Linked DNA regions of Schizosaccharomyces pombe. The gene in region 2 interacts genetically with the main gene of each other region. Each region holds a gene or a part of one and is shown on either strand. Other genes may lie near its edges.

The links.
Region 1: mutations in SPOM_SPBC17A3.06 (region 2) and iwr1 together harm fitness less than expected from each alone (positive genetic interaction), as found in Schizosaccharomyces pombe (one large-scale study listed by BioGRID).

The regions. Positions count from the first base shown.
Region 1 is NC_003424.3:1,592,802-1,596,798, reverse strand, and holds iwr1 (RNA polymerase II nuclear import protein Iwr1), read left to right. Parts: upstream 1-2,259; 5' UTR 2,260-2,344; coding exon 2,345-2,405; intron 2,406-2,458; coding exon 2,459-2,527; intron 2,528-2,616; coding exon 2,617-2,929; intron 2,930-3,018; coding exon 3,019-3,409; 3' UTR 3,410-3,497; downstream 3,498-3,997. Other genes in the region: glutamate-ammonia ligase Gln1, read left to right, coding at 1-307; signal recognition particle receptor beta subunit Srp102, read right to left, coding at 873-1,388, 1,437-1,604; peptidase family curved DNA-binding protein Cdb4, read left to right, coding at 3,716-3,997. UniProt on the Schizosaccharomyces pombe protein: Directs RNA polymerase II nuclear import.
Region 2 is NC_003423.3:1,410,538-1,415,177, forward strand, and holds SPOM_SPBC17A3.06 (phosphoprotein phosphatase), read left to right. Parts: upstream 1-2,327; 5' UTR 2,328-2,517; coding exon 2,518-3,510; downstream 3,511-4,640. Other genes in the region: SPOM_SPBC17A3.05C (J domain-containing protein), read right to left, coding at 825-1,570, 1,635-2,071, 2,126-2,154; mitochondrial glutathione reductase Pgr1, read left to right, coding at 3,959-4,010, 4,066-4,640. UniProt on the Schizosaccharomyces pombe protein: May be directly involved in signal transduction and/or cell cycle regulation. It is necessary for maintaining growth rate or spore germination. Could show both activity toward tyrosine-protein phosphate as well as with serine-protein phosphate.

The sequences.
Region 1 (3,997 bases), on a different chromosome or scaffold from region 2:
TACTAAGGACACTCGTGCTGAAGGTGGTATAAAAGCTATTGAGTCTTATCTCGAGAAGTTTGCCAAACGCCATAAGGAGCACATTGCTGTTTATGGTGACGACAACGACTTGCGTCTTACCGGTCGTCATGAAACTGGTTCAATCGATAAGTTCACTTATGGTGTTGCCGATCGTGGTGCATCCGTTCGTATCCCCCGTTCTGTCGCCATGAATGGTTGCGGCTACTTTGAGGATCGTCGTCCTGCTTCTTCCATCGATCCTTACCTCGTCACTGGTATCATCACTGAGACCATGTTTGAGCATTAGACAATTTTCCCTCATAATTTAACGTGCAGGTCACGTCGACCACCCAGTTATTAACCATTTTGAAATATGTGTTTAAGTTTTTATAATATCACGTTTTTGTTTGTAGGACTTAATGAGTTTGTTGTGTAGTAATTTTGTTTATCAGCTTCACTTTTTTGTGATGTTTATCTTTTTTTAGAATATTTCATATGATGCATTCGTTGCAGTCATTTTTTTAAAGTATCACCATTTATCAACTGAGCTTGTTGCTCACCTTCTTATAATGATCAAGAGTGTTTTCATTGCGTATGTGAGGCTTTGATACAACCTTGGATTGTTCTTTTCTTGATATTCTTATACTAATATTAATGTTTCTCTTGTTTTTTTTTACCCAAGCTGTCCCTAAGTACAAGTACTTTACGAATCAGTTTGTCAACAACCCTGTTAATTTTTTTAAGTATTTTACAGTATTCACACAAGATTACGAATTTTTGAAATAAAACGATAGCTTATTCTAGACATGCAAAAATATATCTTTTTTGGTTGGTTACTTGTAAATTATCAATTGTGAATAATTAATGCATCTTTATTGTAAAGCTGATTCCATCCATGAAATCCATTCTTCAATGTTCGACATTTTTGCAACGCTGCCAGGAAGGAATTTAAGATCAGTATCTTCAATCTGATCTGCAACTGATTCCCAATCGACATCTTCAGAGACTATAGATTCGAGTTGAAGATTTTTCTCTTCCAAAATATTGTGCAGTTCAGCTTTTAACAATTGTTGAATTTTTTCCGCAGGTTGAGCAGTAAAAAGATCAAATTTATTACAGGCAATTAATAGATGAGGGACATGATGCTTGCGACATTTTAAAATTGTGTCAAACAACATCAATCCAACCTCGTGCACATCCCTGTCAATTGTAGCACTGTTGAGAACGAAAACTACAGCTTTTACATTATAATTTCCAGAGAATTTAGTAGTAATCCAACGTTTGGCCCTGGGATGCCCTGGAAGATCTACTAACCAAGCACCATATTTCCACACAGCTTCATTAGGTTCAATGCTAGGAACTGTAGTTTTCTTTTCTTTATAAATTAGCTATATAACAGTTAATAAGTATTCAAAGATTGTATATTATTGTTATACCTCACAAAACAAAGACGTTTTTCCAGAATCGCTAGGTCCAATTAAAAACACTGCTGGTAACTTCTTTTGAATTGTCTTTCTAGTAAAAAAAATTCCTAGGGTAGATATAATAGCTCCTATAATTATTGTAGCTACAATAATTTTAAAAGCTTGAGAAGTTCCATCCATATGCTGTTGTTGGTACCAGTTGGGTGTGTAGAAGATATATGTCAAATGTTACAAAGACCTCATTTTCATACGATCGTTGATTAAGATATATTTTTCAGAAGAGAGAAATAAATGTGAAAAAAAAAAAAAAAAAAAAAAGCATCCAAACTAGTTCTCGAAGTTTTGTTTAAAAAAGACAATTCTCGTACAGATTGCAGCAGTAGAGATTGACTGTACCCTCTTTTGAATTTAATTAAAACAATACAAAATACATTTTTCCTGAATGTATTACATGAGATAATTGCTTGATTAGACCAATCTTTGTTAATCGTCAAAGTATACATTTATATCATCGGTTCTTTTGAGTGGAATTAATTGTTGTGGGGCATCTTTAAGTTGTGAATTTGTGTAATTAGACTTATTGAATATTTTTGCTTCATTGTTTGCTCAACATTATTTATTATAGAAAAGTTCTTTTTGTTAAGTGATGACAATGATATAAATAATGAACTTCACGATTTTTTATTTTAAAATAATAAAACTATAGAATATTTTACATTTTGAAAGATAAGATTGCGTTGTTGTAATACTACTTCAATCCAAGTTATACTGAAGTTGCTGTCTTTCAGTCGAAGAGCTACTTTTATATCTACCTTTTTTACATTGCAGACTTGCCATCCCCCAACCGTAGATTTTGCTGGTTATATTAATTCCTTTTTTAAAGAGTCGTCTAACTCTCGTTATTAAATTGTGATACGAAGATGCCTCTTCCAGTACTTCGAGTTAAGCGTAAAGCTTCAGAAGATCCTGTTAACGCCCTATGTACGACCAAGCTTCTAAGTAAACTTTCTTTATCTAACTCCTTAATAATTTAGATTTGGAACTTGGAAACAATCCAAATTCTGTTTCAAGTACGAAAAGAAGGAAATTCGCCGGACGATATTGTATGCTACTTCTTGAGCTTTTGTGTTGGAATATTACACAAGGACTAATCATTTGAAAAACACAATTACCTTTTATTGACAGTTTCTAGATTTTAAACTATCACAAACGCTGAAGCAAGATGATCGGTATATTCAGATAAATGATGAATCTTCGGAACCCACTCATGAAGACGTTCGAAATATCCACAGTCATACAAAAATATCATCTCTAAAAAAGAACAATTACGGAATCCCTGTCGTCCAAACTTCTGAAGACGTTGTGAAAGCACCTACGCACATGGACTTGGGATCCCGTGAAAATACAAAAGGTATTCTTTCTTTCTCATCCCCACGCTATACAATTCAGAATTTACCTTCTACTCAAAGTAATAGAGTGTTCGACGCTATCCGTGTCGAACAAGGGTATGTCAACATCAAATAGAGTCAATTACTTAGTTCTGTTGTTATAAGAACTGGCTCTTGGCTTTTTTTACCTTAACTAACATTCATAGACATACTACGTATCATCCGCATCCTCAGCTAGATTCTATGATTCAAGAATATTTGTCAAATGGAGACCTTCCTCTTCAGCAATCTACGGAAGACTACGTATACGATATTTATGAAGCATCTAGCAAAGAACCAAACAAGCCAACGTTTGCTTATGGTGTAATTGATGCTTTGTCCATCCCAGACGCTTTTCGTTCTTCATTAGAACAGGAACTAGTCTCCGAGACAGTGGACTCTGATAAAGATGATCCATTACATGATGAAATTGATGAGGATTCAAACGCTGAAAGCTTCTATCAAAATAGCTATCCCGATGAAGACGAATGGCAAGATAGCAGTGAAAATGATGAATTTGCTTACTCCGATGATGCTGAGCAAGACTTTTATGATTAGATGTTTGCTACTTAAAAAAACGAACAAAATGGAAATCGGTTACAGTTTAATAGGTGAATGATATTATTTGGAGAAATTTATATCAGGAATTTAGTAAATTGTTCTATTGTATTTTTTAAAAACTCATACATTATATTGTGTCTGGGTAATATGTGTAAATTTTAATAGCATTACTATTTAGTTATATCATAGGATTCAATATGAGCCATGTTATTCATGAGTTTGGAGTCCACAATTTTGTGACTTGCAAAATCCTAGCACCAAGTTCTTGAATTTGTAGCCAGATTTAGCTACATCATAGACAATATGTCGACTAAAGAAGCAACTTCAGAGACTGCTGTCGATTATTCTTTGAGTAATCCTGAAACCGTCAATAAATATAAAATTGCAGGCGAAGTTTCTCAAAATGTTATTAAAAAAGTGGTAGAATTATGCCAACCTGGAGCCAAAATATACGATATTTGCGTTCGTGGTGATGAACTATTGAACGAAGCTATCAAGAAAGTATATCGTACCAAGGATGCTTATAAAGGTATTGCTTTCCCTACCGCTGTATCTCCTAATGATATGGCTGCTCATTTATCTCCT
Region 2 (4,640 bases):
ACCAAGCAATTACTCGTACTTCATAAACTGCTAGTAGACGCAAGCATATTTAAACATTCAGCAGGAACCTGTCTTTTCAGGAAAGCGAAAACGAGTTTAAAATGTTTGTATATAGAATGTGTGATGATTACCAGCTTACCCTCTTTTTTGAGATACGAAATCACGCTTCAGAACTCTGGTTAAATTACTCGCGTCTTTGCAGCTATATAAAATTTGGTTTGCCAATGTCTCTAGCAGTTTAATATTCCTTCTATTTTAAAGGATTTGTTGTTTGGAGGAAATGCAAGTAAATTCACGAATTATATTAATATGATACAAAGGACGCAAAGCTTCTTAATATAGCGATACAGAAAGCAGTTATTAAATGCAAAAAGTTGATTTAATTAACTCAATCTTCGGGAACAAAATTTGGATTTGATTCAAAAAAGCCTCACCTCTTAAGGAAATAATGCTGTTGCAAGATTTCACTAGACTCACGACTGATTAAACAACGCCTACACAACAGATAAAGTTATAAACTGACGCAGCACTGAATGTTCAATAACAATAAAAAAACCACAACATAAACACAAGTTCTAATTTGTTCATGTTTTAAAGGCAACTTTTAGGAATAACGCATGCCGATTTCATTAAAGATAAACAGCCTAAAGTTACCTAAAAACCGAAGAGGCAGGCTTTAAGATACGCGTAAAGAATATTAGTTTTGTTCCAAAAACCCAATTAAAATTTTTATGAAAGTAAACAACACGAGAATAGGTATAGATGTGAATTAAAGAAAATGAAACAAAACAAAGGACAAGGAAGTATGTCTCAAAGACTATTGCTTAAAAATAATAACTGTTTGAATAAGTTCGATAGCCAAGGCGGTTTAATTCTTCGCAATTAGGTAAACGCAATTCTTTAGCCTTCTTCAGTGCCTCTTTATCAGGAAAGAACCATCCTTGAGCTCTTCGAATTTCGTCTTCTTTAATTTGTTGCTCGCGCAAACAAGCATTATGGACGTTTTGAGTATACGTATGCTCGACTTTTTCGTTGAGTCTTCTTATATCTCTTGAACTTAGCTTATCCAAATCCTTTTGGCTCATATAGTATGGAATGTTATGCTTGGCAGTAGTACGAGGAACAGTGTATTTATAGTTTTGTTGAAATGAATAGCGCGTATTAACCGACGTACTATCTGACCAACTAAAGTTGGACAAAAAGGCAAAAAGGATTACCACTATCAAAGGTAGCAACTGATAAAATATGCTCTTTGGGGGCATGTCCTGGGCCTGCTGACGACGTGCAAAATTCCTTGGACGGCCGCCAAACTGATGAACTCGAATGCCAGGTCCACCACCGAAGAAAAATGTTCCTGGACCTGAAAAGAACTGGTCACCAAAGAAAGAATTGAACAAATCTTCGGGAGACATATTCGCTTGAGGATAAGCAGAAAATCCAGGATGGCCTCCTGCGTTACTACTAAAAGAGCTGCTCGCAGCAGAGGCGCGAGATTCAGGATCCATTCCTGTACGGTCGTAGTGTGCTCGTAGATTAGGGTCTGATAAAACCTGAAAGGCTTTTGAAACCACTATAAAAAAGTTAGGATACAAAAAAAAACCTTAAAAATTATTAGCTAAAAAATGAAGACGTACTTTTAAATGCTTCGTCAGCACTAGGTGCGTGATTTTTGTCTGGATGGAGCTGTAATGCTAATTTTTTATAAGACTTTTTGATTTCTGTATCAGTGCAGGTTTTCTTTAAATCCAATATTTCATAGTACTGGTGATTTTTGTACTTTATGATTTTCTGGACCAACAAATGTTGTTCGCTTGTCCACTTCTGTTTCTTTTCACCAGCAGAGCTATTCCCATTTTCCCGCACCGACTGTTTTTCAGAAAAAAAGTTACTCTTGTTTTCTTGCTTAGGAGTTGCCTGAGGATTTGGAGAACCTGTAAGCTTTTGCTTTTCTATTTGTTTCACAAAATCTTCGCCCTCAGTGGTAGCATGAATTCGCAAAGATTTATTAGCAAATTTTAAAGCCTTATCATATTCTCCGGCATTTAAATACTTTCTTGCAAGTCCAATGCATCTACACGTAACATGTGTTAGTAATAAAATCTCACGCAATCCTCATTATTCGTACCTAAGGGCTTCTTCTCTACTAGATTCCATTTTGGTGATATGAAAGAAGGAAATTAAGTCCAAGTTTGATGAGAGAACCAAAGTTTCAAGTGCCTTCAATCTCTGCCAACTTTGTACTTGGATGGATCGATGCTACCAGAAACCCTTTAAACCAAGTAACATATCGAAGGTCAAGTGGCTTAAGTAACATGCACTTTTGAATCAATCCAAACACCAAAAACAGGAATAAAAGGGAAAACTAATTGATATATTTAAAATAATTCAAAAAGAGCATTTTTTGGTTTTGGTTGTTTGCCAAGCGAAATAATTAGAGTAATTGGAAAAGTTAAGTGTTTTTCATGTTTTTATGTTTCTTTCGGTTTCAAAGTGGTAAATCAGAAACTTAATAATAGAATGAGCAACAAAAGTGCATGGCAACCTCAGTTTGATGAAATTCACTCATCCGTTCAAGAAGCAGAAGGGTTTTTACAGTCTAGCAACGATGTACAGAAAGCTATAGACGAGGTGCATTATCCTGACAGCCTCAATGACTTGTCGGAAATATCAAAAAATTTGTATATTAGTAGTTGGAAAACGGCGTCAGAGCTAGTGTCTACTTCAGACAAAGGGATCGATTATACATTAAGCGCTATGAGTATTAATCCCAATTTGTCGGTTCCTGAACAACAACACCTTTGGTTGCAAATTGAAGACTCTAGTTCTCAAAATATTCTGCAATACTTCGAAAAGTCAAATAAATTCATCGCTTTTGCACTATCTAAAAATGCCAAAGTTTTGGTTCACTGCTTTGCGGGCATATCAAGGTCCGTAACCTTAGTGGCTGCATACTTGATGAAGGAAAACAATTGGAATACTGAGGAAGCACTCTCCCATATTAATGAAAGGCGCTCTGGAATATCTCCTAATGCTAATTTTCTTCGTCAACTTCGCGTATACTTTGAGTGTAATTACCAACTTGATCGAAGTTTGCGCCCATACCGCCAATGGCTGTTCAGAAGATATGGTGATTTCGCGGTGTTGAATACTAGGGTACCATCTGAAGTCGCTTACGCTGAGACTGTCCGTGCCCGTGCAGGACAATTAGAGCTTCGCTGTAAAAAATGTCGGTTTGTCCTTGCCAGCTCTGATTATCTGGTATCGCATGAACCGAAAGATGAAAATAATTATTCTCATACAAGATGTACTCATTACTTTTTGGAACCTATTCGCTGGATGCAGCCAGAATTGGAGTTGGGAAATTTGGAAGGTCGATTTGATTGTCCAAAATGCAATTCTAAAATTGGTTCTTATAAATGGCAAGGTTTACAATGCAGTTGTCTTCAATGGGTTTGTCCAGCTTTAAGTATTTTACAGTCGCGTGTAGACGCTGTTAGGAAACTCGGTTGATTTTTTTTTCTGCGTGTGTGAATCATCCACTTGCTTCAAAGTTAATGTATATTAGGAAGATCGCTCTAGGTTTTCAAATCATCTATGTTTATTACAAAAAAATGGTTTATCTTAAAACATTGGTTGCTTTTCCAGAGTTGTCGATGAGATCTTGTAATTAAAGTACTAACCAGTTCTGAATACTTATTTTTTAATAAAAACTCTATACTATCATTGGCCTGAGAAAAGTATTTCCATCTGTTCAATGGCAAAGTCTAAGGAATTCTTCTAATCTAATTATCACTTTATGGAGGTATTGCTTACTTTTGAAGATGACTAATATTGCCATAAAATTTCCTAATATTATCATAACGAATTCATGGTAAAGACGTCTTACCCTTACCTTCCGTTGGTTTATAACAGTATTCAACTTCTTCATTACCTATATACACGAAGTATTAAAACTAGAATGGCACCTATTTCAAAGGTCTTTGATTACCTGGTAATTGGTGGTGGAAGTGGTAAGTACAATTCGATACTTTCGGGATTTGATGGGTTAACATTTATGAATATTAGGCGGTTTGGCTTCGGCTCGTCGTGCTGCCAAACATGGAGCCAAGGTTGCTTTAATTGAGGCATCTGGGCGCCTTGGAGGCACATGTGTAAATTATGGATGTGTACCCAAAAAGATTATGTGGAATATTGCTGATCTCGTCGCAAAGATGAAAACAGCAAAGCAAAATGGATTCCCTAACAGTCAGTTAGGTAGTTTTGACTGGGGAATGATTAAACGTAAACGTGATGCATACATTGGACGTCTCAATGGAATTTATGAAAGAAATGTTAATAAGGATGGTGTGGCTTATATTTCTGGTCACGCTAGCTTTGTATCACCTACTGAGGTTGCTGTCGATATGAATGATGGTTCGGGAACTCAGGTTTTCAGCGCAAAATATATCCTTATAGCTGTTGGTGGTCATCCTATTTGGCCTTCGCATATTCCAGGAGCGGAATATGGTATAGATAGTGACGGGTTCTTTGAGCTTGAAAGCCAACCTAAGCGCGTTGCTATCGTTGGTGCTGGTTATATTGCCGTTGAACTTGCTGGTGTATTTGCTGCTCTAGGAACAGAGACTCATATGTTTATTCGC